4 linked regions of the Alligator mississippiensis genome follow. The protein of the gene in region 1 interacts with the protein of each later gene in a biochemical or structural test. Links are inferred from orthologs where the notes say so. Each region holds a gene or a part of one and is shown in the gene's direction. Other genes may lie near its edges. The genes, in order: RPA1, RAD51, ATM and RFWD3.

What was found.
Region 2: the proteins of RPA1 (region 1) and RAD51 form a complex in vitro, tested with the Homo sapiens proteins (2 studies listed by BioGRID). The link is inferred for Alligator mississippiensis from reciprocal best matches to the Homo sapiens genes RPA1 and RAD51.
Region 3: the proteins of RPA1 (region 1) and ATM form a complex in vitro, tested with the Homo sapiens proteins (3 studies listed by BioGRID, with this or other methods). The link is inferred for Alligator mississippiensis from reciprocal best matches to the Homo sapiens genes RPA1 and ATM.
Region 4: the proteins of RPA1 (region 1) and RFWD3 form a complex in vitro, tested with the Homo sapiens proteins (3 studies listed by BioGRID, with this or other methods). The link is inferred for Alligator mississippiensis from reciprocal best matches to the Homo sapiens genes RPA1 and RFWD3.

Annotation. Positions count from the first base shown.
Region 1 is NC_081837.1:557,771-564,878, forward strand, and holds the start of RPA1 (replication protein A 70 kDa DNA-binding subunit), read left to right. Parts: upstream 1-4,090; 5' UTR 4,091-4,164; coding exon 4,165-4,197; intron 4,198-4,536; coding exon 4,537-4,584; intron 4,585-4,878; coding exon 4,879-4,957; intron 4,958-5,426; coding exon 5,427-5,535; intron 5,536-6,224; coding exon 6,225-6,313; intron 6,314-7,108. Other genes in the region: SMYD4 (SET and MYND domain-containing protein 4), read right to left, coding at 922-1,091, 1,380-1,562, 2,132-3,296, 3,382-3,471, 3,545-3,689, 3,764-3,885. UniProt on the Homo sapiens protein: As part of the heterotrimeric replication protein A complex (RPA/RP-A), binds and stabilizes single-stranded DNA intermediates that form during DNA replication or upon DNA stress.
Region 2 is NC_081825.1:240,951,067-240,958,613, reverse strand, and holds the start of RAD51 (DNA repair protein RAD51 homolog 1), read left to right. Parts: upstream 1-4,540; 5' UTR 4,541-4,691; intron 4,692-4,697; exon of another isoform or gene 4,698-4,790; intron 4,791-4,810; exon of another isoform or gene 4,811-4,827; intron 4,828-5,202; 5' UTR 5,203-5,379; intron 5,380-6,164; 5' UTR 6,165-6,190; coding exon 6,191-6,277; intron 6,278-6,948; coding exon 6,949-7,086; intron 7,087-7,547.
Region 3 is NC_081824.1:436,970,272-436,977,725, reverse strand, and holds the start of ATM (serine-protein kinase ATM), read left to right. Parts: upstream 1-4,451; 5' UTR 4,452-4,643; exon of another isoform or gene 4,644-4,683; intron 4,684-7,454. Other genes in the region: protein NPAT, read right to left, coding at 852-970, 4,231-4,267.
Region 4 is NC_081833.1:40,708,359-40,716,269, reverse strand, and holds the start of RFWD3 (E3 ubiquitin-protein ligase RFWD3), read left to right. Parts: upstream 1-4,904; 5' UTR 4,905-4,998; coding exon 4,999-5,044; intron 5,045-7,911. UniProt on the Homo sapiens protein: E3 ubiquitin-protein ligase required for the repair of DNA interstrand cross-links (ICL) in response to DNA damage. Plays a key role in RPA-mediated DNA damage signaling and repair.

The DNA of each region.
Region 1 (7,108 bases):
GCTTGCATTGTAACAAGTGTTAGGTACATATATGAACCACTTAGTAGATCTAAAAAGGCTTTGAAAAAAAGGCTTTTAGAAGCTTTGAAATGGATGGCATACTTGCCATCCAAGGGCTTAGAACAGCAATCCTGAAACTTAGAAGTCTCAACAACGAGGGGAGCCAGTGAAGGGAACAAAAGTTTCATGGCAGCTAATACCGGATCACTACCAGCACTCAGTACTTCAACAGCACTGTTTACATTATATTGTGCTAAGTGTATCCGCAGGGTAAGCACATAGCCTTTTCCAGTCTGGCGGCTGTGCACTGAAAGTGGAATATGCTGCAATTTTAAGTTTTCTACCTCTGCACCCCTGAATTGCTTTACAAGGCCATTGCACTGCTTCCCAGCTGCACATTAAAACAAAAGCACCTGTCCCTTTGCAAGTGTCACATTCCCCAGACAACAGAAAGGAAGCTGTAGGCACAGCGCCACCAAAGCTTCCAGACTGAGTCAATGTTGATCAAGGCAAAGTGAGGTGTTAGACACCCACCTAATCGCCGGATAATACAACCCTGCAGTGCTAATTCCTGCCTGACTCAACAGCTCCACCTTATTCTTCAGGTCACCTTTCCACAGGATATGCTATGCCTAATTTAGACAGTCTCTGTGTGAATACCCTCTTCTTAGTTCTAGACCCTGGGAACATCTCAAGGATCAAGGATCTTGGCAAACATGCCCCGAGGAAATTCTGGAAGAGTCCAAGCCAGAATCTTTCAGAGGGGTTTCTTTGAGAACAATGAGAACCTCCTTAATTCTGCAGCACTACAGGTCATAGAAGCATGAGTGCTAGACTCAGACTCATACTTTCCACTGTTATTTTGCAGTCAGGATCTACCAAACTTAAGAGTTGCATAAGTTTTGATTCTTGAACAGTTACCTGCATTGAAGCTTGGCAGTGGGGACAGCAGAATGTGTCTGTTGTGGATGGTATGCAGGTGATATCAGACCCTAACTCCTCTCGGCAGGCCTGGCATTGACACACAAAGAAATACTGAGAAAGAAGTCGCTGCCGTCTCTCAGCAGCCCCCATTCTGCATCTGTGAGGCCCTGCAGAAGAAAATAAAAGTAGAGTGCATTACGTAAACCATGAAGCTAGGTACCTGACTACCAGCTAAAACCACCCCCACCTTTGTCAAAATATGAAAGAAATAAAATACTGACCATAACGGGGGGAAGGAGGGAAAGAGGGGGATGCGTGTGCTCACACGTGTGAGCGTGTATAAATATTGTTTAGAATTGGGATCTTGGAAGGAAGTCATAGTTGAAAGGTGACTCATGTACCCTACACGTATTATTCTGGGAAAGTAGTACAGAAAAAGTGAGACTATAACATACCATAGCAATGGAAAATCTCTTGCCCTTTTGGAATTGGCTGCGAAGCTCTGACTGTGACAGCTGTCCCACTGAACATCACACTAGTGGTGGGGTTGCAGGAATGGTTAAGGAGGCTGAGCACAGGAAAGAAGGCTGTGGCCAGACGTACTTGCTCCCTGTTTACTACAGTGCCATCTCCACACCCTAGACACACAAACACAAAGGGGGCAAACAGATCAGGGAGTGCAACAAAAGTAAATCTACAGTGCTTTTATGCCAGTTACTATGCTTAGTCTTAAAGAGTCGATAGTAAAGAAGACATTTCATCACCTTAATATAACAAAAAACTGTTCAACTAAATTTGGCAGTTCCTGCCCTCACAGTCCAACAATGCAGCATTTATCTTCAATAGTCAGCTCCCTATTTAAATTCAAAGACGAATCAGAGATTTCCTAAACTTCATCCTTCTGGACACAGCTGTAAACATCTTGTTTTCGTTGCTACTGGCCATGTATTAAGACATGCATTTATTTATTTTTAAAGAAGCATATGCTTAGCCTCCACATCCAGGCGAGAAGCAGGTCTCCAAGCCCTACATCGTGCAAGGCCTAGAGATGTGAAACAGACCTTTCCCTGTGAAAGTGACCGCAGGGCTTTAAGGAAATGGGACACTTAGCCACGGGTAATGGGAACTCTTTAAAGGACCTGCATTCCTCCCACAGGACAGTCAAACAACGACAGGAGGGGAGAAGAGCCGAAGGCTTCTCACCAACCTGACTCCTGGATTCCAGTCACGGCTTGTGCATTACACTGCAGCTGTAACATATGCCTCAGCATTGCCTCTCCCAGAACCTCCAGCTCAGCGGACACCGTCTCACACGCTTCCCCCTTGCGCTGGCTCTCAGGTGAGCCCTGCCTGAGGAAGGTGGCCTCCAGACCGGCTTCTTGCAGTCGCTTGCACAGCGCTACCACGCTCAGGCAGCAAAGAAATTTGTGTTCAGGGCTGTGCTTTTCAGCATGTGGCAGAAGATGGAAGACAGCTTGGTAAGAAGTCTGGTACTGCCCACGGCCATCACACCCAGGAATCGGGGACTCCCCTTTCTCACACGGTCCCTCGCGACCAGATCTGGAGTTCGGCGTCTCATCAGCATATTTCCTGCCCGTCTCGGCACCGTGAAACTCCTGGTCGTTTCCATAAGCCTGCTTCACCAGCCTGCTAACCTCTGCAAACCCAGCCACCAGAACCGTCCTTAGGGCAACGTGGCAGAAGACCCCCAGCGTGAGCAGCAGCGCCCCCAGGGCACACTCTGTCCGGTGGTAGCGCTCCCATGCCAGCCGCGCACACTCCTGGCTGCAGTACTTCGCGTAGCTACAGCCTCTGCAGGGCACGGAGGCCAAGAGCGGCTTTAAGCAGCGGTGACAGTAAAGGTCCTCGTTAGCGATACTGGTATCCCACGTGGTTTCAACACCGTCCGGCAGCAGCAGTCGCTCCCCCGGGTTGAGCACGCTTACAAAGGCCTCCTCGCTCAACAGGCTCTCTCCCGGCAGGATACCCCGGGCAGCCACCAAGTGACGCCCCCGGGAAGCGTCGAAGCTCAAGCTCACGGAGGAAGACGCACCCGGGAGGTCGCTATTCTCTTCCAGGGGCTCCCGGCCTTCCCGAGCCTCGTCGAGCGCCGCGGACACCGGCGCCGGGTCGCCCTCCCGTTCGCGGGCTTGCGCTCGGAGCTGCTCGATCTGGCTCAGCAGGGCGCGGCGCGCACCGCCCGTCAGACCCGCGTCCCCGGCGACCCGACTCTCCGCCACGCTGAGGGCCTGCGCCGCGTCCCGCGACCGCCCCAGCAGCAGCAGGCACTCCGCTTTGCGGAGCAGGACCTTGGGTTGCAGCCCGGCGGGGTAGCCCTGGCCCAGAGCTCTCTCGATGTCTTCCAAGCACGCCTGCGGTAGAAAAAAAGGCCTTTACGGGGGGGGGGAAAAAACACGCAACCATCCGCCCCACCCGCGCACCCGGCCGCGGGCTCACCTGTGGGTGCTGCAGACGGAAGAGCGCGGCCGAGCGGTTGGCGAAGCACAGGGGCAGCTCGGGGCCGCCGGGCGCCGCGTGCGACACGGCCTGCGGGCAGCGGGACGGCGGTCAGGGCCGGGCCGGGCCGGGAGGGGGGGAGGGAAAGGGCGGCGCGGCCTACCTTGGAGTAGAGCGCGGCGGCGGCCGCGAAGTCGCCCCGGCGGAAGCGCGCGTTGCCGGCCTGGCGGTAGAAGCAGGCGGCCGCCGCCTCCTTGCCCGCGCCCCGCCGCCCGCACAGCGCCCGCAGCAGCGCCTCGTCCTCGGGCCTGCGGGACAGCGCGTCAGGGGACGGGGAGAGGGAGGGCCGCGCCGCCGCCCCCAGCCCCGGCCCGCCGCCCACCTCAGCAGTCGCCAGCAGCACCGCAGCGGGGCCGCGCCCGACAGCTGAGCCCGCAACGCGGGCCCCAGCGTCTCCCAGCGCCGCGCCGCATGCACCCGCCACGGCTCCGCGGGCAGCGCCATGTCCCCTCAGCGGCCGCCTGCCCGCGGACCGGTACTTCCGGCGTACAGCACCAGCACTTCCGGCACTCGCCGCACCGCGGCTAATAGAGGGCGGCACTTCCGCTGTACGGCACTAGCACTTCCGGCATCCGTCGCACCCCGGCTAATAGCGGCGCGGCACTTCCGCCGTACGGCATAGGCACTTCCGGCATCTCATCCAATAGCGGCGCGGCACTTCCGGTCACGCGGGCGGGGGATTTGGCGCGGCGGGAGCAGGAGCAGGAGCGGGCTGTTGTCGCCATGGCCGCGCGCCTGAGTGCGGGCGCGATTGCGGTGAGGGGCGCGGGCTTCCCGCTCCTCGCGGCCGAGCCGGCTCGTCTTTCACGGGCAGGAGCGCGCGGGTCCCCCGGGGCGGGCCAGGGGCCGCGTGCCCGGCGGGTGCCCCTCGCTTGGGCCGGGGCCCGCGTGTAACGCCCCGCCCAGCCCCCGGGTGCGGGGGGCCGAGCCACCCCCGGCGCTCGGCCCTGCTGAGGGCCCTTCCCACCCGGCCCCTGGGAAGGGAAACCCGCTCGCGACGGGCCGAGAGACGCGGGAGGCCATAGGGGAGAAGGGAGCTGCGGTCCTGTCCCCGCGGCGCCAGGTGTGACCTTCTTCCTTCTCGTCCCTCTCCAGGCCATCATGCAGGGCGAGCCCGTGTCCAAGCCCGTGCTGCAAGTCATCGTGAGTATTCGCACAAGCGTCCTCCTGCTCCCGGTCGCCGCAGCTCCGTGGGCAGGGGGCGGGCGGGCCAGGCCTGCGCCCTGGCGTGACTCGGGCGGGGGAAGCTGGGCCGGGAGCAGATGTCCTGTGCACAGCTCCTTGCACCTGGCCTGCGACAATGCGTTTCAGTTGCTGGCAAAGCCACACAAAAAAAAGCCCCCCCCCCATTCGTGTCTGCAGACGAGGTGTCACCTCGCCGTGTGTGTCACAAGTAGCGTGGGTTGAGGGCTGAGGACCCCTGCCTTTCCCTTGCAGAACACGCGTGCTATTGCCACGGGCAGCGGCCCTCCGCGCTACCGCGTGCTGATGAGCGACGGGGTGAACACGCTGTCCTGTAAGTGCGACGCCGCGCGGGCGAACGTGCCTCTGCCTCCGCGGCAGAGCCGACACCGGGGTGTCACGGGCGTGGTGCGGGCTGTCCCTTTCGATTCTGGGGCCGGTCATTTTGTTCTGGTGTCTTGCCGCGGACCACCCAAAACGTGGGCAGCAGCTCCGTCGTTAGCAGAGTCTTCTACGCGCGCTGAGGTCCGAGAGGAATTAGCAGCTCGGTTGAATCATTTTCCATTCTGTTACGTGTCTGATTACGTTAATCGCTGCCTGAACGCTGTAGTCCGTTCTCCAGCTTTGGGTGGCTGACGTGCAGCTTATGCCCAGGAAATGACTCTTGCTGGCTGACGTGATAATGTGCACACCTTAGGTCTATTCAGCGCCACTTGTCGGAGTAGAGAAGTTGCAATTAGCCATTTTAGTACTGTCCCTTGCTAGCAGCTTTCGGAGGGGTTTTCTTTTCTTTTCTTTTGCAGCTTTCATGTTGGCAACACAGCTGAACTCTCTAGTCGAAGAGGAGCGCTTGTCTGCCCACTGTGTCTGCCAGGTGAACAGATTCATTGTTAACAGCCTGAAAGATGGAAGGTATTTTTGTTTGTTTCGATATTTGTGTTCACAGAATTGGCTGAAGGAGCGGGTGAAAGGGAGGAGCTCAAGCGCTTCGTTCCGGGGGAAGTGGACAGGTGTATCCAGGGGGTTCTCATAATGTAGGCACTGGCTCCCTTATAGTTTTCTGGGAGCAATTCAGAGTTCTGGTTGTAACCAGTTTGTCTGGGCCTGACATACCTAAAGGACTGCTTTCTCCCCCAACGCCCCATTGCAGTCTGTGACAAAATAACAAAAACTTCAGAATTATTCGCAATTCAGGCACATGCAAAATCTTGGTAACTTTTACTGCCACCCTTCTCTTCTCCTTCAAGTTGCCTTTTGTATTGCATGCATAGTTGTATTTAGTGTGCACTTTTGAGACAGGTAGTATATAAGGAATCTGGTACCGTTTTTAGGGCTTTGCAAATAGCAATAATCGTTATCCCATCTCTGTTTCATGTGCACTGTTCAGGTTGTTTTGTTTCAGCCCACGCCATTTCTGCTTGCATTTACTGAATGTTGTAAACCGGTGGGTAATGAAGCTGTTTCCTCCTGACATTACCTTCCCCAGGGAATCTATTCTGTACTGATTGTAGTGCCTTTATATATGCAAAAAAGAAACTTGCAGCCTATGACAGACAAAGACAGATAACCGTAGAGTATCTTGCCATCTGTTCTGTTTTTAGGAGAGTGGTTATATTGATGGAGTTAGATGTTCTGCAAACTGCTGATGTGGTTCGTGGAAATATTGGTGATCCAGTGCCATACAATGAAGGTAGGTAACTTAGCAAACAAAGGCATTTTGTTGTTTCAGAGACTTACTGCTGTGCTGGTCTTTCAGCTGTGTACTTTAGTGAAAAAGGGGAGTCAAATTTCAAGTGATAGAAAAACAGGGCTGGTCATCTTGTCCACTCTGTCCTCCAAAGAGGATCGTCGCTGTCTAAACCATCCCCAAATTAAGGGAGGCCTGGTGTCATCCGAGCAGGCAAACCTCTGGTCTTTTCAGACATACTGCTACTGTATGCCTAAGTTGCACGGCTCTAATTGTCTTGTCTAGAGCTGTGATTTCCAGTTCCTTAATGTCTCTTCTGCACGTGGAACTTTTGTATAGTGTCTCTCTCTAATATACAAACCCAAGGCCAAACAGTCAGTTTCTGTCTCTATCTAGTATGGGGAAGTCTTGAATTTTCATGATGTTACTACTCCATTAATAAGAAACAGCTAATTATCATGGGGGGGGGGGGAGGATATAGAATCCTGATACAATTTTGCCTACGTGATTCCATTTTAATCTTTTGTTTTGATCTCTGCAGCATGCAGGTGGGATATTTTTTCCAGTTTGTATGCTTTCCCTTTGGGGGGTTTTGAAAGTTGAGACAAAAAAATTCAGTTATTAAAGAAGAAAATTGGGTAGAGAGAAGTACATTATGTGTTATTTGAAACACAAGCCTGAATATTCTTTGGACAGGTGTCCTTGACATTTATGGAGATAAAAGGTTGAAATTTGAGAGGGGCACAGTGTCATGGGAGGAATGGTCCCTTTTAGAGAATAGAGGGTAATGATGTACGT
Region 2 (7,547 bases), on another chromosome or scaffold:
TTTCTCTGTATTGGTAAATGCAGAAAACATTTAACTCTCATGTCCATTCTGTTTCCAATCTTTACACCCCAAGTAAATCAAATTCATACTGGATTAAACTAACTAGCTGGGAAGGATTGCACAAGATGATTAAGGCCCCTTTTGTGCTCTGTTATAAATTCTGTCTTTTGTGTCCCCGCCCTTAATTGTCACTGGAAGCTTCTGAAAATCTGATCATAGGATAGAAGCACTGTTGATGTTGTGTGTTGCTGCTCCTGTGTTATGTTTTTGCCTTTTTGGTCATTTACATGAGTGCCAAATGAAGTCCTAACACAATAGAATAGGGGTGCTCAACCTCAGGCCTGTGAGACCATGTCATCTGGCCCCTGGGTCTCCCCACACATCCAAAAATTATGACAGCAGGAGAGCAGTGGCAGCATTAATTGTAGCTCTCTTGCTGCCAAATTTCCAGACCCATGGGGAGCCCCACAGGCCAGATAGCATGGTGCTGTGCACTAGATAGTACCAACCCACAGCCAGAGCTGGTGTGTGATGTTGGACCAGCATGTGGTGTCAGGCCAGTATGTGCAGCTGGACCAGAAACATAGATCATACCCATGGACTGACCCTGCATGCCATATTCAACCCATGGACTGGCCATTTACCACCTCATGTGGTCCACATGCCAGAAGGTTGAGCACTTCTGCAATAAAGCAAGCAACAAGTGTACTGATTTAAATTACTGACAAAACAAAGACAACCTGCTTTGGGATTAGATATACATCAGTCCTGAATAGAAGTTAGAGCAGCAAATTTTAACCATGGCTGTGAGATCCTTAAGGAATACCACTGGTTGTGAGGAGATAAGTACATGCTCAGTGCCATTAATAAACTGTCTACAATAAACTAGTTTTCAAAATGGGGTGCTGCTCAATTTGCAAAAGGTATGGAGGGGTCCCTTGAGTGTAACTCCCCCCCCCCCCAGCCACTTGTGCTCACTTGGAAGTGTCAGCAGCACATCTGCGGGATCAGTTGCAGGGGACTGACTAGCTGGCCCGGTTGATGACTGGCTGCTGGGGGGATAAGTGCCCCCCCTGACTCAGGAGGCACCAGTTGCCCATGGCCTCTGATCCTCACTGCCATGCATTTGCATTTTTCACTGACCTGCATTTTTAATATTGCCTTCTGTCCCACCCAGAACACAAAACAGCACTCTCCCTATGCCTGAAGAAGTGTGTTTGTGCCTGAAAGTTTACAAAGAACAATTTTTCCAACTATTTAGTTGGTCAAATAAAAGAGATTACATTTACCCAAAGAACCTTGTCTTTAAACCAATTAATTTCTAAGGTGCTACCCTGCCCTGCCTTCCATCTCTAAATGTACTTCTGAATTCCCAACCACACTCTATCCTTGCTGGTTTAAAATAAACCAGACTCCCCCAGCATCCTGGTATGCTGTCTGGCCTGGGCAGGGCTCTCTGTTCCACAGCAGGACTAGCCCCTCCCCTCTGCTCCCTGGCTGGAGCTCCCGCAGAGACTGCAGACACAACAGGGTCTGCCTGGCTTTACCTTGCCCTATGCCCCCTTCCCCCACTGCTTGCTGTTCAAGCAGGGATTCTCCCCCCTCCCTCTCATCTCCCATAGCAGGGACCCCAGCCCCATGGACCCTAGGCACGTGGTGTGCTAGTTAATGCTGAGAGGTGTCTCTGTGCATCTCTCTCCAATTTCACTGGGACAGGCAGACAGCACAGTGACCACTTAGGGCTATTTGTAGCTAATCAACAGGTCAGCCGGTAAGCTGTTGAAGAAGAGTTTGAAGTAATAGGTCAGGGATGGACATTGCATAAACTGGTTTGAGCCAAATCAGTTAAGTCTGATACTACATTCAACCAGGTTTATATCAAACTGGTTTCAGCCATTTTCAAACTGTTTTATGTGCACTGAACATCTGTTCTATTACAGGTTTAAACCAGTTTCTGATCACTTATTTATAGTTCTAAGACACTTGAAGCTCTCCAGCCTGTCTGGAGTAGCTGCTTCCAGCAATAAACTGCTCTTAACCTTTCCAGCCAAGTGAAAGCAGCTAGGATGAATGGCTTAGGTGTCAGGTAACAGTTGCCACAAATTTACTGTTCTCTCAGCTTCTAGCCATGGGGTCAGCAAAGTTCAGTAATGAGTCTCGTGCATCCATGACCCTTTTCTTGAATTGGGGATTGACCCTTTTCTTGGGTTGGGAATTGCTCAGCTATAAAAGGAAAATAGGCTTATTTTCTAAGTGAGAAAGATTCTAGCTTCTCCTTTCTTTCCTGTCTTCCCTGCTTGCAGCCCATTTCCTCCTCAAGCTAAAGATCTGTTTTCTGTGTTGCAGAGTTTTGTAAATAAATACATTTGCCTCTTGCCTTACCTCCAAGCCTATACCAAAAATAGTGAGATAGGCAAGGCCTCATTATCAAAAATTTACTGTGGAAATGGTGCTTTTGTTTGTACATGTTTAATATGAGTGGGTGATGATCAATAAGCAGGCCCTGCAAGTAGCAGCACTTATGAAATCAGGCAGTTACGATTTTAAGATGACTCCTGCCAAATGCACAACAGACAGTTATGTTAAGCAAGATGACTTAAAGCCTCAGAATTATAGTTAGTAGATATTACCTTTTCAGTGTCACAAGTGTAGGTGCTACGTTACAAACAAGTTAAAGATTTCTCCCTTCTGTTGTTCAGGTGCTAAACTGCAGTGGTATAATACAAATAAATGATGAGATGGAGGCAGGCAGGAACGGTAAATCTCGAGTAGAGAGCAACGTCTTTCAGTCCTAATTCAATACTATTAGGAATTTATGAGAGGAAACCTTATGACATTTTAAAACTTTTAAAGCCTGGTTGTTGGGGTACAGGTGTGTGCTGTTTGAATATATTAAATTCTAGTTCGATTTCTTCAGTTTTTGCCCCAGCCACCCCTACCCCACCTGGGGCAACCTGCCATACAAGGTGCACCACTGCTAATTGTCATCAGGGAACCAAATGTACACACACATGTGGACATGCCCATACAAACTTTAGAATGCCTTGCAGATAACCTAGTTATCTGATGGAGTTTGATCCTAGAGGCTGACTAGATTGTCTCTCAAGTCACAGAAGCTAAAGCTTCTTCTGCTTCACCAAATTATAATGTACGAAATCAAACAACATGATCACAGCTAGACTTCTAAAGGCATTCCTATCTCAAACCAGTGACTGCTGGGATGCACCACAATCCAAGACTACCATGATCAAGCTGGGAAGTTCTCCTTGTGAAACTTGGTATTCTAATTACTGGTATTTGCCAGTCACCAGATGAAGAATATCTTGCATGTGAAAGTTTGTCTAAGTGTAACCCAAACAGGAAGCTGGTTCAATAAAAGATATCGCCACAAAAATCCTTGCCTCTCCTGTAGCTCCTGGACCATTGTGGCTACATTGCTCCAACACTATCACATAAATCTTGTTCATCCTAAAACACATCAGGACGAACTTCACAGTGAGAGTAGCCAGAATTTGGAATGGGCTTTTAAAGGAGGCAGTGCTCTCCCCTACCTTGGGGGTCTTTAAGAGAAGGCTTGATAGGCATCTGGCTGGGGTCATCTGACCCCAGCACTCTTTCCTGCCTAGGCAGGGGGTTGGACTCGATGATCTGATGAGGTCCCTTCCAACCCTAGCACCTATAATCTATACATCAATGACACGTGGGTATTCCTGTTGAACTGCACCCTGATGCGCCTGTCTTGCTTCTTTCATGAAAAATATTTTATGTAAAAAGTATGAATTAAATAGTTCAGGCATTTTACTAGATGTGTATGTGATTTGGTTACTGCAGGAGCCAAGCAGAGGGCCCTTTAACTGGTTCATTTTGATGGACTTCTCTATATTCCCGCAGAAAAATTAGGTATTGGCTGTGCACACAGAGCACAGCTCAGCAGGGCAAAGGGCAGCCACGGGGAGGAGGCTTAACCTGTCCCATCCCACATGGATGCTTTGGTCACCCTCCAGCTCTCCTGTGCAGTATTCATTTTCATTTCCACTTGGGAGAAATGTGACAGTCTTTGCATTCTCCTCTGCCTGAGGAGGCTGCGTGAGCCTGGAAACGTGCAAATAAAGACACGTTTTTTGCAACCGTCTAGGTGGTCTAATAAGAGAGATCGCCTCTACTTTGGTCAATAGTTTTACTTGAATTCAGCCATTTCCCTGCCCCAATCCTAATGCCCTCCCCCCCTCCCCCGTCTTCACAACCTTCAGCTCTAGGCTGGTTAATCAGTTTCACGTAAGGCTGCCCGGCTTGCTCAAGTTCATCCCCGGGAGGCTTCCCTCAGCCTCCGCCCGGCACGGCTCCCCAGCCAGAAGCGCGGCTGCGGCTCCGGCTCCGGCTCCGGCTCCGACAGGAGGGCACGTGCAGAGGCCACTGCAGTCCCCACGGCTCGACGTACCAGGGTCCTCACAGGCGGCAGGGGCGGAGTCACGCGGCCAGGACCCCGCCCCCTCCCGGCGCGCATGGGCAGAGCGAGGACTGAAGCCCCGGCTGCGCGAGCAGAGGCCCCTGCCCACACGCGTCACGTGACGTGGTGGCGGGCTCCTCCAAACCGGGCGGCGGCCGCCAACGGGCCCGAGCGCGCGCGGGGGAGAGGAGAGGAGAGGAGAGGAGGGCCCGGACCCGCGGGGGAAGAGGTCGCCTTGGCCCACGTGAGGAGTTCTTCGGGGAGCCGGCTGTGCGCGAACCGCTGCTGGGCCCCACCCAGGGCTGCTGGGCCCGGTGTGAACGGTGTCCACAAGCCTAATGAGGTGGCGTGACGTCACGGCAGCGCTGTGATGTCAATAAGTAAACGCGTGACGCGTGCCTGGGCCTCGCTTGGGGCCCAACGGGGCGCTGCAGGCTGTGGGGACCAGGGCAGGGTGGAAACACCAGGAGGGGGGAGGTGGTCGCGCCCCCTGTGCTGGGGGGTGTCAGCTCCTCCTGCTTCCCCCCAGCCCCTGTCGTTCCCCCCGGGGCCCAGGGGAGGCCTCATCGCCACCAGGCAGGGACCTCAGCGCAGGGCAGGCAGAGAAGGCTGTGAGCAGCGCGGCTGCTGGGTGGGCCACAGGAGCAGGGTAGACAGGACCTGGGACAGGCATTTCAGTGTCATGCTGGACCGGCCGCCTGAGCGGGGGCTGGGCCACGTGACTTGAGAGATCCCTGCCCACCTTTTTGCTACAGTCCTGTGACGTCATGGCTAGGTCCCGGCTTGGAGGTAGGAGGTGGATCAGCAAGCAAGTGGTGGTGTGAAGCTCTTCCACCTTCCTCGGAAGCGCCTGTTCCTGCATCGGGTGGACGTCGCCTCTGAACCAGCTCGTGGTAATTCTCATGTTCCTGCAGGCACGTCTCTGATTTCAGGTGAGGTAGTCAGTGTGGAGATGCACACATAGCACCTGCACCCCCCAAACTGTTTTTCTGCTGCCATCAGTAAGACGAACTGATGATACTGGCCATGTCATTCATGGAGTGATCTGTTTTCCATCACAAGTCCTTATGTCCTTACCTGCTGCAGATTTCTGTACCCTGCCTCTGCTTGATATTTAACATGTCAATCTAGAGCTACAAAGCCTCAGAAGAAATGTGCAGGGGGGAGGTGCAGATAGGGGGAAATCACTATTCTAGCTTTCTAGCTTCACTAGAACTGGTATTGATACGGTGCAGTTTGGCAGTTAAGTTAGTTACGTGAAGACAGCCAACGTCAAGTACGATGTTGAAGTACAGTCTTGATTCAAATCTTCAAAGTAATCTTTTAATGTGACAAGGAAGCTTGGTGCTACATGGAGGCTCAGATAGTACTGTGTATTACTAAGTAATCCCATAAAGAGATTTTTGATATCTTGTGGTTCGTGTAGATTTAAAAAGTACTTTAGAATTCTATGTTTAATCCCCTGTTATTTCTTATTAGAAGACCTGAATGTTTTTTAGTAAGCTGCTGTGCAGAGAGAAGAGTGCCTAGAAATGAATGATTTATTCCTTCAAAGATGCAAAGAATTAGTATGAGCTGTGTGGGGTGGGAGAGACCTATTGTATGCTATTATGAAGAAGCTGTTAAAGTAGTGTTTGGTTGTGGCACTGACAGAAGAGAGACTTGTTTGAACATTTCTTTTTTCATGTGAGTGTGTTACATGTATCTTTTTCCTTAGGAGGGATTTATTGAAGACCTGGTGTAATGGCCATGCAAATGCAATATGAAGCAAATGCAGATACATCAGCAGAGGAAGAGAGCTTTGGTCCCCAGCTGATATCTAGGCTGGAGGTATGGAATGAGTTACTATCTGAAGAACAAGCTGCCATGCAAGCAGCAAAACAATTCTTCAATGAGAACTGTATTTAGGAGTGGCCACTAGCTTTGCCTAGCTAATTTTTGTCAAAAAATTCCAGTCCAAAGTGTTACAGAAAGCATCAAAACTTAACTTGAGGTGTATTTAATGTGAAAGGTGGACAAATGCTGATCTGTGGTTTGTATAAAGTACATCAAAACAAAAGTAAATCAGCAACTGTTAGCAAAGAGGTTACATTCTGTACCACACCATGCAACTAACTTGTGAATATCCTGTCTGAAGATAGTCTCCTTTTCTTGAACTTGTTTAAAACTTCATTAGTAAAAATTAAAAATCATGGTTATTTACATGGCTTTGTATTACTACTCCTTCTGTGCCTAGATAGCCAAAAAGAGAATCACGTATGCTTCCTATTCCATGTTATTTTTGGTACTGATAATGACCTGCACAAACAGTGCATAGTGTAAAGGAGAATTCATAGGGGGAGGACAGTCTATTCAGCTATTTTTTGGGTGTAACTGAATGAGGAATTCAGTATTCTTTTCCTTGATCCAGTCCTTACAGAAGACAGTTGGAGGGTTTCTAGGCTTTCAGTATCTCTTTCAAAACACTGTACCTACCATAAGTATTTTTTTATTCCTTTCAGCAATGTGGTATACATGCAAACGATGTGAAGAAGTTAGAAGAAGCTGGATTTCACACAGTTGAGGCTGTTGCTTATGCACCGAAGAAGGAGCTACTTAATATTAAAGGCATCAGTGAAGCGAAAGCTGACAAAATCTTGGTAATTGCATTTGGATGAAAGGTTTATGTACCTGTAAAGAATTTCAGAACTCTGCAGCTACTTACCACAATTTTATAAAGTGACTAGCAAGCTTTGAGAGGCTCAGTGTTTTGGATATCCAGCCTTTTCTGAAATGAGGCCCCTTTAAAACACCACTAGTTGTACATCCATGAGTGCTAGCTGCTTTTTCAAAACCTTGGGCCATTTTATACCTACTTAGAAAGATGGGTGGAGGCAAGAGAGACGAATTACGCAGATTTATTGATACTGAAGTAGAATCTGATTGGTTCCTCAAGTGGTGGGGAATTAGCATTATCACTGACTACTAAGATTGTTGTCCTGGAAAAATGATGAAGTCTATAACTTAGAGAATAAAAATGTACTAAAAAGGCACACTGTCATAATGCTTTTATTGCTAAATTGAAGTCATTTTAACAATACTCTGAAGTGTTTGTTTATTA
Region 3 (7,454 bases), on another chromosome or scaffold:
TGTTACTTCTGTGCAGTAGTATCTAAAAATAACCATGTGGCGACGGGACTGCGCAATAACGCTGATCACTGCACAGTCATTTAGTACTTGGTTAAGCAAGTACTAAATGACTGAGCAGTAACAACTGCGCAGTTGGCTACTCATGTAGATGTGGCCACTGAGAATCAAGAGTTGTCACCCATTCTATAGTTTGCCTAGAACCCCCATGGGATTCCCAAAGCTTTCTTCCTACAAGGTGCAAGTCAGTTGAGGAGAGTCCATACAAGCAGATACATCATTCTGTAATTACAGCAAACAGATTTCTTCCCCTTGCCCATATTCATTTCAAGTGCATCTTCTAAATTTTGAGACAAGCCTCCTATCCCAAATTCAACAGAAAAATCGGTTATGTTCTCAATCAAGAGCTTGCAGCAGGGATGTCATCTTGATCAGGTATCTAACCAGGTACAAGTGATTTAACTGTCTGAATAACTATAGTACTTAACTCCTGGAAATATGTATCAAAGGCAATATTCCTTGCTTACAATAACAAAACATGTAACTGTACATTATGAATACCGCTCACTTATTTTATTCTTAGATTTGTAAAACTGTCAGTGTCTGGGTCAATGTCCAATGTTTGTTATATTAAGAATGTAGGAAAAAACAGCTGTTCATATACAACCCCTTATGCAGGGTACCAAAAAAAAGTTACTCGGTCGTACTGTTTAAATGTCTTGAACACTGCAGATGTTACAACCATTCTGAAAGCATAGAAGTCTGTGCAAACTTAAATAAATTATTTTAGAAGTACATATTTTGGAATGTACTAGGGTTCAACTCTATCTCACGTGCTTCAAATATAAACTTACCAATAAACAAGCTGGAACAGACCCATCCTCTGTACAGTGCTCTGCATATTCTTTTAAATCTGAGCTTTCCAATATAAACTCACGACAGGTAGCTGAAAGTTTTTCTTGTTGTAAATATCCTGCAGTAAATAAGACAAAGGTATGTGATTTGATTCACTTTTTTACAAGGTACACTTGATAGGTGTCAATGCACTGATACAATTATGTAGCATAATACAGTAAGCTTACTGTGCAATCATCTAAGCACTCAAGTGACAAATACTCAAGAAAACACGAGTTGTGTTATGTTTTGAAAGAATAGCTACCTTTCTACACATCTCTCCAGTAGATAATGTCACACAGCTTTACTGACACCATGCTACATGTACATAAATAACTCTTCAGCTAAGAAATGATTGTTAAATGAAACCATTTGTGTGCACAGTACCCTACAGGCAAAAAATAGAGGTCTTGCCTCAAGTGACTAAGTCAAATGTGAGCTGAATATTCCAGTTTTAAAATAAAAATGGTACTCTGCAGTAAACTTTAAAAGACATTGCCATACAATAAGCAAGTGTTTTTGTGCACGTTTTGAAGTTCCAAACCCGGAAAACAAATGCAATATAAAAATATTTTACATGATTTCTTTCTCCCAAAAGATGACATTATAGATATTTATAGACATGGGAAAAGCAACACATGTCCATGCTATAACTTTGCTTTTAGTTGGTGAATCAGCTATACTTTAGGTACTCCTACAACTCGGGCTCTCTCACCAGCCTTAATATGATATATACAGAAAAACTCCTTCCACCTTCCAAAAAGTCTCAAACCAATGATATTTTAATATTTTATATTAACATTCAAGTAACTCAGGTACCAAACAGAAAGGAAAAAAACTATCTGAATGAATGATTCTAGACCACTGAGCCATAAAAGTTAGTATGGCATGTTGTTTATTTTATGCTGAAGATGGTTGGCCCCTGGTGATTTGGCCACTCTGGCTTTAAATGTCTCTTATGGGATTCAACTACCAAACATGTTAACTCCAAATTATCACGTAGAAAATAGTATTCTTTGAACTGACAAAGAGATAGGACCAAAAACTTTTTCCACCGTGTCCACAATAGTGTTCAGTATCTGATGCACAATGAAAGCTAAAAAAAACCCCAAAAAACTCTATTAACTGTTCAATGCTGTGCATTACAGAAGTTTAAGTTACACATGTCCCAAAAGTGATTAACTGGTATGTAACATATTACAATCATTTTTTAAGTTTTGCAAATGTGTTCTGTGGGTCAAAGGAAGTAGAACCATATCTTACATCTCTGACTTACAACAGTTAAGGATATATATGCTATGCACATAGACAAATTACAAAATCAAGCACCAAGAAGTTAGGAAATGCCAAAGCTAATGTTGCCTGTAAAATATGACTTTGATCCCTCGTGTGCATGCATTATGCATTCCTATTTCATTCCATGATCAGAAAATATTTTTCTATAGACCCCTGTATTTCACACAGAATGACCAACACTCTGCGTTTGCAGCTATTCTGTGTTTTTGTTTCCTTATCGTGCAATGCCCTGTGCCTTACTTACTGAATCCAAAAGCAGTCGTAAGGGGCAATAATTTATTTGCAATAGTGCTGGGGTGATTTTGTAGCTGTGATGGCCCAGGAAAAATGTGAGAAGCAAAGATTTTTGTGGGTGGTATCTTTTATTGGACCAACTGTATAGTTGGAAGGGATATGGAGGAGATTTAGGAACCGCAGCACCCTTTGTTGTCAGGTCTTCCTCAGCTACCACCCACAAAAATCCTAATTTTCTTGCAGAATTTTCTCCAGTGCTTTTGCTGTTTCATTTTAGTTTTTCTACAAATATTAATAAGTTTATTTTCACAGCATCACAGGGTAGCAGCCAGGTAGCAATGAGATGCTAAATGAGCAGAGATTCTTGAGATCAGATTAATAGTTTGTAAGTTTTATTTTTTAATATAACCAAAGCAATAGATTTCCCCACCTAACTCAGCTCTCTGAAACAGCTCCAGCATTTCAAACAGGACTTTAGAAATGATCCAGCTGGAGGCAAATGCACCTTTCGGAAAAACTGAGCCTATTTGGCCAAGCCATGAGCAACAGAAGATAAGATCTAGTACAACTTTAATTAAGTCTCATTACACGCACTGCTTACAATGCCTCCATAGGTTTGAAGCCTATGACTTTTCAATTCCTGGCCTCTCATTCTTGTATTGAAAAAGTTAAAGGGCTCTGTCAGAAATGCAGCAATCCCCCAAAATAACCGTTTTAAAGTGACCGCCTTCTACTGTTATGCTAACCCACAAGCGGGCATCCAGGCTATAGCCATATTGGTATAGAGGAAAAAGCAATCAGAGCTCATGGTAGAGGTGATATCTTTTAGTCCAACAAGATTTTTGCAAAACCTGACACACGAAAGTTATCAAATTTTAGCCGATTTTGAAATTAAATCTTCATATTTTCCCCAAAGAGGAAGCAACTGTGACCACCTGAAACACTGCTCTTGCTTTTGCTCAAGCTAATTTGCATCATCACAGAGCCTCACAAAAGAGGGCAGAGACTCTTAGCCAGCTAAGACCTGCCTGCCCAGAGGAGTTTTTCATCTATGGACTCCTCTGTGATCTGTGAAATCCTATGAAATACGAACTTTCATTCCTATCCAAAAGAACTTTTACAATCTTTTCTCCAATGCCTGATGAAAGGTGTTTGTGCCCAAAAGCTTGCAATGAAAGAATTTTTTTTTTGCAAAATTCTTGTTGGTCTAATAAAAGGTATCACCTCTACCACAAGCCCTGAACCTCACAATCATGTTTTTCGAAGGTGCAGGCTCCCAGCCCGTGGTAGGAGGAGGCTCTCTCAAGCTGGTCTTCCAGTTCACAGGAAAACGCACAATTGGCCTGGCAGCCAGAGCAATGCTGGGGGGGGGGGGAGAGAAGAGCAGATTTCTTGGGGGAGGGACGATCATTCATTGGACCAACTGCAAGGTGGAGACAGAGCCAGAAAGGCTGTGGGGGTCGGCAGCCTCAATCATGTCACTTGCCGCTCGAGGAAGCGGCTTTGCCCTGTGCTTGGCCGGCTCTGTCCCAGCGGCGCAGCCAGAGTGCTGCACCCCTCCCCCCCGCGTCGCCTCCTGGCGGCCCGCGCACCAGCGGCTCGTTTCCTTCGCCCCCTTTATTCTCCTCAGACTCCAGGAGACAACGCGGGCGGGTCCCGACGCCGCACAGCCCCCCGGGCAGCGCCGGGTTCCCCACAGGGCCAAAGCACCGCGAGGCCTCAGGGAGCCGGGGCGGGGCGGGTCTCTGGGTTGAGGCCAGGCCGCGGAGGCAGACACAGGCCGCGCTGAGGGAGTCTCGCCGCACTCACCCAGCACCAGGCGGGCCACGTCGGACGGCAGCAGCATGGCCCCAGCGGGCGGCGGCACTCGCAGCTCGGCCGCCCCGCGCACCACACGCAGAGCGCGGAAACGCCACCCGCGCAACCCGCCCCGCCCCTTCCGCCGGAAGCCGCAGTTGCACAACCGCTTCCGGCACTACCCCTCCCTCCCTGCTGGCGCTGGTGCTGCGAGGCAGGCGTAGTGCGCATGCGGGTGGGGCTGCCGCGGTAACGGCCCGCGGCGGCGCGTGGCAGCGGTGGGGCCGGACTAAGGCTGCGCTCGTACGGCCGGGCCGCTCATCAGTGCGGGGAGGCCTCCGCGCTCCCCACGGCTGCACGGCGCCGCGGCTTGACGGCTTGAGCGGGTGCGAGGCCGGGGAGGGTTTGATGAGCTGGTTTGGCGGGTGCGTTAGCGGTTCTTTCTGGCAGCGGCTCGGACTTCGTGTAAGTCGAGCCAGGGAGGCCGCCTGTGGCACGTGCGTGCGGCCCTGGCGGAGCGGGCACAGGGCTCAGGCAGCGCAGGAGGAGGCAGGGTAGGGAGCAGAAAGCAGAGCAGAAGATGGGGCGGGGGCACGCAGGGAAGGAGGCAGAAAGCAGAGCAGCAGGTCGGGTGGGGAGCAAAGAGCAGAAAGAGCAGCCAGCTAATTCTCCGGGGAGGGTGTTGTGCTGAGGGGAGGGTGTGGTGTTCGTTTGTCACTTCTGCCAGAAATCTCGCCCCCCCTCCCCCCCCATGAAGGGCATTGACAGGTAAATTCTGCCAGTTAAAGAGGTGTTTCTAAATTTGGCTTCTTGACAACAGTGTTTTTAAGCTGGACACAAATATTTACATGATTTTGAAAACTTTCCAATAATAATCATTGTTTTCGGCTTTCTCCAGAACCTTGAACAAAAATGGACAAGGGGCAGATGTGAAACCGGACTAGTTCTTTTTTAGGCTAGGGACAGACATTACACTTAAACTGGTTTAAGTGATCAGAAACTGGTTTAAACCTATAACAGAACAGACGTTCAGGGCACATAAACCAGTTTGAGAAAAACCTGGTTGAGTGTAGTATCAGACTTAACTGATTTGGCTCAAACCAGTTTGTCTGTCTGTTTAATCTCAAAGGTTTACAAAAAAATAACTATCAGCACAAAATGAGGGAAAACGCAGATTTTACATCATTATTTTATTTATCTTTTTGCTCAATGGTCTGAGGTGATACATGTGACAACAAATGTGCTTATGCTTACAATCTGTTACTTAAGTTGGCCAGGAGGATAAATGATCTGGGAGCACGAATGACGTTCTGGTTGATCCTCTCTTTGTAAGGCAAGCAGGGGCCATCATGCCCTGGAAGTGCATGTGGCTGGGACCGGGGTGTTGATGTGAAGCCTTTGGATTCTTTGACAGCAGGCAGATGTTCTGGGAGAGGGCCTGCTATCAAGAGATGGGATCCACCTGACCAGAACTGGAAAGAGCATCTTTGGACATGGTCTGGCCAATCTAGTAAGGAGGGCTTTAAGCTAGGTTCAGCGGGGATGGTGAACAAAAAAGCCACATAGTGCAGAGGGGAAGACACTAGTGAGTCACAGGACAGCAACAAGTGGTGCAGAAGGGAAGTGAATAGGTCAGAATACAAAATACATTTGATGTGTGGATGCAAATGCAAAAAGTATAGGGAAGAAACAAGAAGAGCTGGAGACTGCAGCCTGTGAAAAGAACTATGACCTGATTGGTATCACAGAGCCCTGGCAGGACACCTCTTATTACTGGGATGTCAACACTGAGGGGGTTACCCTTTGTTTTGAAATGATGGGGTTGGGGAAAAAAGGTAGTGGTATTGCCTTCTATGTCAAAAACATACGCTTGTTGCTGGACTCAGTAGGAAGAAGATAGCGGAGCAGAATGGATTTGCGTGAAGAGGAAAGGTGAAAGATGCAGCACTGATATAATGGTGTGGATCTATTGTAGGCCACAAAATCAGGAAGAGAAGGTGTCTCCAAAAGCTATGGGATAGGAAACTTAATTTTTCGACATCTGCTGAAAGAACAATACAGCCAAACACAAAATGTCGAGCCAATTCCTAACTTGTGTGGAAGACAACTTTCTGTTCCAGAAAGTAGAGGATACAACTAGGGGCTCATCTGTCTTGGATCTTGTCTTGACCAACGGGAAATAACAGGTGGAGGATGTGAAAGGTGATGGGCAACTTGGGAGGAAGTGATCACAATCTGATATAATTCTAGGTCCTGAGATGAGGAAAGCATGGCATCAGCAAAAGTAGGATGCTAGATTTCAAACAGGTGTATTTCACCCAGCTCGGGGAGCAAATAGGCATGGTTCCTTGGAAAGATAGCCTGAAGAAGAAAGGCACCCAGGAGGGCTGAGAGCTTCTAAAGTGCACAGCATTGGAAACCCCCAAAAAACTGTTCTGACATGATGAAAGCGCAAGAAAAATGACAAGAGACCAATGTGACAGCACAAGGAGATTCTAGGATGCATCCAGTGCAAAAGGAAAGCGTACAGGCTATGGAAAACTAGACAGGTCACCTAAAAAGCTTACTGGGAAGTAGTAAGAACCTACAGGGACAGAATCAGGTAGGCAAAGATAAAGCATGAGCTGCACCTGGTGAGGGAGATGAAAAACAACAAAAAGGTTCTATAAGTATTTGGGCTATAAAAGAAAGATCAAGAAAGCTGTAGGCCTACTGTTAAGTAACAGGGAGGGGGGCACTCTAATCAGAAGATGTAAAGAAGGTGGAGCTACTCAATGCTTCTTTGCTTTAGATGTCATAAAAACATTTAAGCTGGAGCCAGACACCTAATAAAGAGTATTGGGTCTGAATGAATTCAACTCTGTAGAGTCTGATAAACATCATCCCAGGGTATGAAAGGAATTGACAGAGGAGATTTTGGTCCCCTTAGCAATAATATTTATAAAGTTAGGGGTGGTGGGCGAGGTAACAGAGGACCGGAAAAAAGACAAAAAAGAGGGCCTGAGAAACTACAGTGTACTTAGTCTCGCCTCAATACCTGGGAAGTTACTGGAACATATCCTAAGGAAGTCCACTGGCAGGCGTCTAGAGGAGAAAAGGTTGATCACAAGCAGTCAGCGTGGATTTACTTGATCTCTTCCTTTGACAGTGTAACTCTGTGGGTGGATGACGGGAATGCTGTTGATATAGTGAACTTCAGCAGTGCTTTTGACCAGGTCCTGTATGACCTTCTCATA
Region 4 (7,911 bases), on another chromosome or scaffold:
TTGCATGGCCACCAGGGGGCCATCCCTGGAGCACAACTTGCTACAGATGCACAGTGTCCAGTCCAGTGAAGCTGATACTTGAGAATTACCAACTCAGTGCTGGTAACACTGGCTTCAGCAGGGATGCTGGTGTTTGTACAGCAATCTTTCCATTTGATGTGGAGGATTTTCCAGAGGCATTGTTGATGGTACCTCTCTAGGTTCTTGAGATGATGATGGTAGGCCACCCATGTTTCACATCTGTAATAGGAGGGGAGGGGTAATGGCTGCATTGTGGACCTGGATCTTGGTGTCTTTCTTGAGATTGCAATTATTAAAGACAAAAAAATGCAATTTCCCAAAGGAGACACTTGCACTCCAGATCTTGAACTGGATCTCCTCATCAGTGTTCACTCTCTGAGAGAGGGGGTTACTGAGATAGGGGAAGTGCTTGACTATTTCCAGGGTCTTTCCCTCAGTGATAATTTCATGGCCTACTGCAGGCTGATAGACTACTTTAGTCTTCTTGATGTTGAGAGACTCAAAATTCAGTAGGCTTCTCCACAGATCCAGCGTGGTCTGGAGGTTGTTCTCAGTGTGCACAAGGATGGTGCAGTCCTCAGCATATTGAAGGTCAGTATGGTTGTTTTGAGGACTCTGGTCTTTTGAGTGAAAACATTCCAGATCTATGCAAAGAACCACTTTGAAGAGTGGTCTCATTACCCTAGGGGTGATTCATTTTCAGTTCGGGTGCTAACAAAAAGTTAAAATATTTGTATGCTGAGAAAGCTGAACCAATGCCAAATGTAACAGTCCTGGTTTTTCTCCAGGTTTACCTTAAACCTTACTTACCCCTTTGTGGTCAAGAATGTTAATGTTAGTGCATTTTCATGAAGGTGAATACTTCAGAAAAAGAGCTTTTAAGAAGACGTATACCTCAAACTTAAGAGCATGCCACACAAAATTAAAACCCTGAAATTAAACAAGTGCTACAGCAAACAAAGATTTCTTACTCTTCAGATTGTTGTTATCCGATGATACGTTTGTAGTTAGATTCATATCAGACTAGAATTCTACTGATGGCCAAACTTCTGACTTCAATTTCCAGATCAAAGATGGCATTGTCCATTTCAAGGATGGCACCTATGTCCCACATGGTCAGTCATGACTCCAAAATATTTGAACTCTGTTATGACCCATCCCTTTTTTGTCACTTTAAAACATTTAAGTAGGTGCCCCAACATTTCTGGTGGCCAAGGATATTCTTTAATAAGGACACAATGTGAAATGGCATTTCCCCTCATGCCATTAACAACCACATTTCAACCTGGGATATTCACTTCCATCTATTTCATTTGTTGACCTCCCCAGCTCTGAAGACAACAGCTGTTCTAGTCATTGTTCAACTAATTAATGTTATATTTCATCCTAGAGTCCCTACCTAAGGAAAAGGCACAAACCTGTTTGAATGTTTTCTTTCAGACCTCATGATTTACAATCTAGCATTGCTACCAAGAGGCAAGTAAAGCAGTTTTAGCATCAACTTATGAAACTTCTGAACACTGAACAGAAATAACATATTGACTCTTCCATAAGAGCTTATAGTAATTGGCTGATGTGATTGCAGAATTGCTGGCCATTATATTTGAAAACTCTTGGAGCTTGGGGAGGTCCCAGATGATTGGAAAATGGCAAATATAGTGCCCATCTTTAAAAAAGTGATGGAGGAGGATCCAGGGAACTACAGACCAGTCAGCCTTACCTCAGTCCCTGGAAAAATCATGGCACAGGTCCTTAAGGAATCCATTTCTAGGCACTTGGAGGAGAAGAAAGTGATTAGGAATAGTCAGCATGAATTGACCAAGGACAAGTCATTCCTGACTGTCCTGATTATGTTCTATAATGATAACCAGCTCTGTGGATGTTTGGAAAGCAGTAGGCATGATATACCTTGACTTCAGCAAAGCTTTTGATATAGTCTCCCACAGCATTCTTGCAAGCAAGCTAAGGAAGTATGGGTTGCATGAATGAACTGTGAGGTGGATAGAAAGCTGGCTAGATAGGTGGGCTCAACAGTATCAATAGCTCAATGTCTAGATGGCAGCTGGTATAAAGTAGAGTGGCCCAGGGGTCCTGGGGCTGATTTTTATTCAATATATTCATTAACAATTTGGAAGATGGGATGGAGTGCTTCCTCAGCAAGTTTGTGGATGACACCAAGATGGTGGGAATAGTAAATATGCTGGAGAATAGGGCTAGGATTCAGGGTGACATCAACAAATTGGACTGGATCAAAAGAAATCTCATGAGGTTCAACAAGGACAAATGCGAAGTCCTACACTTAAGATGCTAGGATCCTATACACTGCTACATGCTTGGGACCAACTGGCTAAGAGGCAGCTCTGAAGAAAAGGACCTGGGAGTTACAGTGGACGATAAGCTGGATATGAGTCAACAGTGTGCCCTTGTTGCCAGGAAGGCTGTCTCAGACGGCCAGAGCCAAGTTGAGGTGATCTACAAATTGCTTGGCCGTTGGGTGGGCTGGTGAATGGAGAGGCAGACAAAACGTATTGGTTGCAAAAAGGCTTTACTTATGCCGCTAGTAGCCGCGACGCAGGTGGTCCGATCGCTTAAATAATTACACGAGTTGCTCCAGCTGGCAAAAACCCAGGCCAGCGAATCTGTAAACGAACCAGGCATGCAGGAAAAGGGGTACGTCGAGGGATAGCATTCGGCGATGGGGAGAAAAATCGATAGTTGATCAGGCTATCGATTCGCTCTGCCACGTCAGGAATTCTTTTAAGTCACTCTGCAGCATGCTCAAAGTTCTCCGACTTGGGCGGAAGTCGCACAGAATTTTATACGGCTAACAAGCCAATCGCTAGCCGCCACATAGGAATAATTTAGAATCAGCCAATGATAGGACACAAATTTGCATACAAATGGCGGGAACTCTCTTGCACCAGAGTTTTCTATTGCAACAGAAAACTTTTGCTGTGCACAGAGACTCTCATGTGGCGAGAAAAATTCCATTGTGCCGAGGCACTTAAAATCATTGGGTTATGACAAAGGCTAACAGCATAGTGGGCTGCATTAATAGGAATATTGCCAGCAGATTGAGGAAATTATTCCACTCTATTTTGCACTGGTGAGGCCACATCTGGAGTATTATGTCCAGCTTTGAGTCCTCCCCTACAGAAAGGACGTGGACAAATTGGAGAGAGTCCAGTGGAGGGCAATGAAAATGGGTAGGGGGTTGGAGCACATGGCTTATGAGGGAACTGGGCTTAGTCTGCAGAAAAAAAGAGTGAGCAGGGATCTGATACCTGAAGGGTGGTTCCAAAGAGGATGGAGCTAAACTGTTCTTAGTGATGGTAGATGACAGAACAAGAGCAATCGTTTCAAGTTGCAGGAACGGAAGTTTAGCTCAGTTATTAGGAAAAACTGTCTCACTAGCGGGGTGGTGAAGCACTGGAATGGGTTACCTAGTGAGGCTGGTGGAATCTCCATCCTTGGAGGTTTTTAAGGGCCAGCTTGACAAAGCCCTGGCTGGGATGATGTAGTTGGGGATGGTCCTGCTTTGAGCAGGGGGTTGGACGAGATGACCTCTTGAGGTCCCTTCCAACCTTAATTTTCTATGATTCTAATCATGCAGACCAGCAGCATCAATCAGAAGGCACCAAGTTTTGCTTTTGGCAACAGGGTATGGCTGAAGACAGAAACTCATCTGCATTTAACCTTCAAGCAAGTTGTGCCAACAATAAATTAGCTTATTCAAAGTCCTTCAGCAAATCATCCCAATCACTTTCAAACTATAGGAAGCTAAGTACATGAAAATGAATCCAGCAACTCCCTCTCCTTCCTCTGTTTGGTCATTGCAGCATTGGAGGTCATCAGATGCTAGCTGTAAAAAGGGGTTTGCAAGTAGCCCATTAGTCTCCTTCCTTTGCTGCTGCCTTGTTTGGCTTAGCAGAACAAAGGCTGAGAGGGGATGTGATTGTTCTCTATATACAAACTCATCCAGGGAGTAAGCACCAGGAAAGAGTCAGAAGATATAGCCCACGTGCCAGATCTGACCCATGGTGGCCTATCATCTGAATCATATTGCTGCCCGGGGGTCTCAGATTGGACCAGGGTTGCAGACTCAGACTGGTTTGTGCTGTATCATATCTGCTGCATGGGCCAGATCCTGCACATATGGAGCTAGGTCCAGCACTTGCACTACATGTGACGCGTGCTGCCTGTAGTGCTTGCACTGGAGCAGCCCCGTGCTCTGGATCCAAAGTGCAGAGCTGGTCTGTGGGCCGGCTCTGGTCCCCCGATCAGCCCCGCTACTCATCCGACCGTCTCTGTGCGACTTACCCAGCCTGTGGGGCTAGATGCGTTTGATATCCCTGCTCTAAAAGAAACGTAAACCAGAACACATCCTTATAAACTCATCGGAAATATATTTGGCCTGGAATTCGGAAGTTCTCGTAGCAGCGTGAAGAGCGATGTTGTCGCCGTGACAGTCCCCAGAACACGTGAGGCGAGGACTCCTGAGGGAGACATTTCTTACTAGACCAACTCCGTAGCTGGTACAATAACAGGGCACACCTCAGAGATCCTCGTCTCCTCGCAGGCAAGTGCAAGAGCTCCCCCCGCCCCGCCCGGCATTTGAATGCAAGCTTTCTCGCGCCTTTTACCTCGTCAGACGGCTCCTCCAATGAAAATGCCCTTCCGGGCGCTGTGTCCTGCCTCCGATTTTGCTGATCGACAGGCAACTCGCCAATCATAATTGAGCGCTGGGGCATCATTTCTGCCCCGTGCCGCCGCGTCGCCTGTCTGGCCAATAAAAGTAGAGTGTGTGAACCTCCCCTCCTCCTTCCTCTCGGCCCCTGGCGAACGGGCCGCGTCCGCATCCAATAAGAATGCTCATTGCGACGGCGGGCTGTCCAATAGGAGAAGGGGTTGCGTTGATGGAGGGCTCAGCCCCTCAATGAGGTGGCGGGGCGGGATGTGAGGCCGCGGCGGGAGGCGATGGCGGCTGCGGCGGGACGGTTGGAGCTGGCGGCCGCGGCGCGAGGTGAGCGCGGGCTCGGCCCGCACAGACGCGCTGCTCCGTCCCGGCCGCCCCCTGCGGTACTGCGAGGGGCGCGGGATCCTGCGGGCAGCGCCCGGCCGAGCCGCCGGAGCCCGGCCCGCGCACGGTGTCTGTCTGGTCTCCGGGGCCGGTTCGCCGCTTTCTTGCGCTGCCTCATATTGACGCGTGCTGAGATGAGGTGGATGCGGGCCAGGCTGGCTCCCCCTTCCCACCGCTGTCCTTTGCCCTGAGGCAGTGCTGCGGGTCGGCTCTGCCTGCTGCAGCCCCAGGCAAGGAGCACGTAATGGCTTCTGTCTCTCTCACCAGGATGTAGCAGGGGTGGCAGCTCCAGCCGTAGCTGACGGCCAGGGCTGCCAGCGCTGTGCCGGGAGCCAGCATGTGCTCTGTGCCCTGGGCCAGAGTCAAACCCAGAGCCGCAGCTCGAGGCATGGGGTGAGGGGCAGACTGCTTGACTCCTCCAGCACTTGCCCTCATGATGCTGCATTGCTCATTGTAGTGGTGGGGGAGACAAATTTAACATGACCCTCCAATAATGAAGTTTTTCCACATATGGGAGGCATGGGCAACGGCAGGATGCTGCTACCTGCTCAGAAATGCAGGCTGTGCAAGGCTCCGAGCGGGGGTGGGGGCTGGGCCCCAGCTGCACTGGAGCAGGCAGCAGCAGCACTGGGAGGGGCAGCTATGGGATGGGCTACAGCCATTTCATTTCTCTGTAGCCCCTCTGCCCAGCACCACTACCATCCACTGCAAGTGCTGGGCTCTTCCCACCTCCTGAGGAAGAGCCCAGAACAGCCTCCAGCCCCAGGCGCATAGCGGCAGCCCACCTTCACCCCGCACGCAGATCTGGGGGGGCACCTGCCCATGCCCCCTGGATGAGCCATGGCTCTGTCCCATATCCTGCCTCACCCCGACCCTCTCCCTCACCAAGAGGACCCCAGTTGCCTGTCCCCCCCCAACAGACTTACTGGCTGAACAGTACTGTCAGGCTGCACTCCTGGCTGTGTGCATTAGGGCTCTGAAGCTTCAGTTGCCGATTTGATTTGGAGGAGATTCAGCCCGATTCGGCAACCAAATCTCTGAATCCAAATCGAATCAGGAGGCCTATTAAAAGGTCTGAATCAAATCCAAATCCTCTGAATTGATCATTGATCCTGATCGACCAGGGAGAGGCAGGCACAGCTGGGCGGCTGCAGGTTCTCCTGTAGCTCCTTTGGCTGTGCCTGCCTCTCCCTGGGCGGGGGGAGCCATGGGAGAAGCCCCCATGGCTGTCCTCCTCGGCCCCATCCCCTGCACTCACTGGCTGCAGGAGCAGCGATTGGGGCCTCTGAGGACTTGTGGCAGAGCCCCCCTGCGCAACAGGGGGCAGCAGGGATTGCCTCCCCACACACCTGGCACCTGTGGGGAAACTCCCCAATGGTGTGTGTGCAGTGCCGTGTGCTATCTGGGAGCTGGGGCCGCTGGGGCTGAGCGCTGCCAGGCTCCGGCTGACTGCTGGAGCTACCCCAGCTCCCAGACAGTGCGCACAGGGAGCCACGCTGCTCCCGTGCAATGCGACAGCTGCCACGCAGGTGCCAGGTGTGGGGAGTGATCCCTACGCTATACAGGGGGCTCTGCCACAAGCCTTTAGAGGCCCTGGTCACAGCTGCTACAGCCAGTGAGTGTGGGGTGCTTTTTTTTTTTAAGTGCTGGGAGGCTCGGCCAGGCGAGGGATGTGGCTGGGCAGGGCAGCTATGGGGGCTTCTCCCATGGCTCCCCCCGCCCAGGGGGAGGCAGGCACAGCTAGAAGAGCTGTGAGAGGGCTTGTAGCCACCCAGCTCTGCTTGCCTCTCCCCAGCTGATCCGAATCTCCAATTCTGATTTGACCAAATTGAATGGGGACAGTGATATGAATCACCGAATTGAATCAGTGTCCTCCGAATTAGCCAAATCCGAATCGAATACTTCCTTATTCGCGCAGACCTTGTGTGCGTGCTGCAGCTGTGCACACACGCGTAACATTTATCAGTGACATTATCAGCCACATCAGCCAAAAAAGGCTGATTGCGTTTAATGTCAATTTTCCTTTTTTCGATGTCGATACCATATAGACTGATATATCAATGTACCTCTAATGTCTATTCATAGATTCATAGATGCTAGGGTTGGAAGGGACCTCAATAGATCATCGAGTCTGACCCCCTGCATAGGCAGGAAAGAGTGCTGGGTTCAGATGACCCCAGATAGATGCTTATCTAACCTCCTCTTGAAGACCCCCAGGGTAGGAGAGAGTACCACCTCCCTTGGGAGCCCATTCCAGACCTTGGCCACTCTAACTGTGAAGAAGTTCTTCCTAATGTCTAGTCTAAATCTGCTCTCTGCTAGCTTGTGGCCATTATTTCTTGTAACCCCCGGGGGTGCCTTGGTGAATAAAACCTCACCAATTCCCTTCTGTGCCCCCATGATGAACTTATAGGCAGCCACAAGGTCGCCTCTCAACCTTCTCTTTCGGAGGCTGAAGAGGTCCAGGTGCCTCAGTCTCTCCTCATAGGGCTTGGCCCGCAAGCCCTTAACCGTACGAGTGGCCCTTCTCTGGTCCTCCTTCCTCCCCTTCTTGAAAATGGGGACCACGTTGGCCCTTTTCCAGTCCTCCGGGACCTGGCCTGTGCGCCACGACTGCTCAAATATTACCGCCAGTGGTTGCGCAGTGACGTCAGCCAGTGCCTTCAGTACCCTCGGATGGAGCTCATCCGGGCCTGCTGACTTAAAGGCATCCAGTTCCTCCAAGTGACCCTGCACCATCTCAGGGTCTATCTTATTCACAAATATTCATTTGTATTTTTCACCATAGTATCTGAGAACGTTATGATACT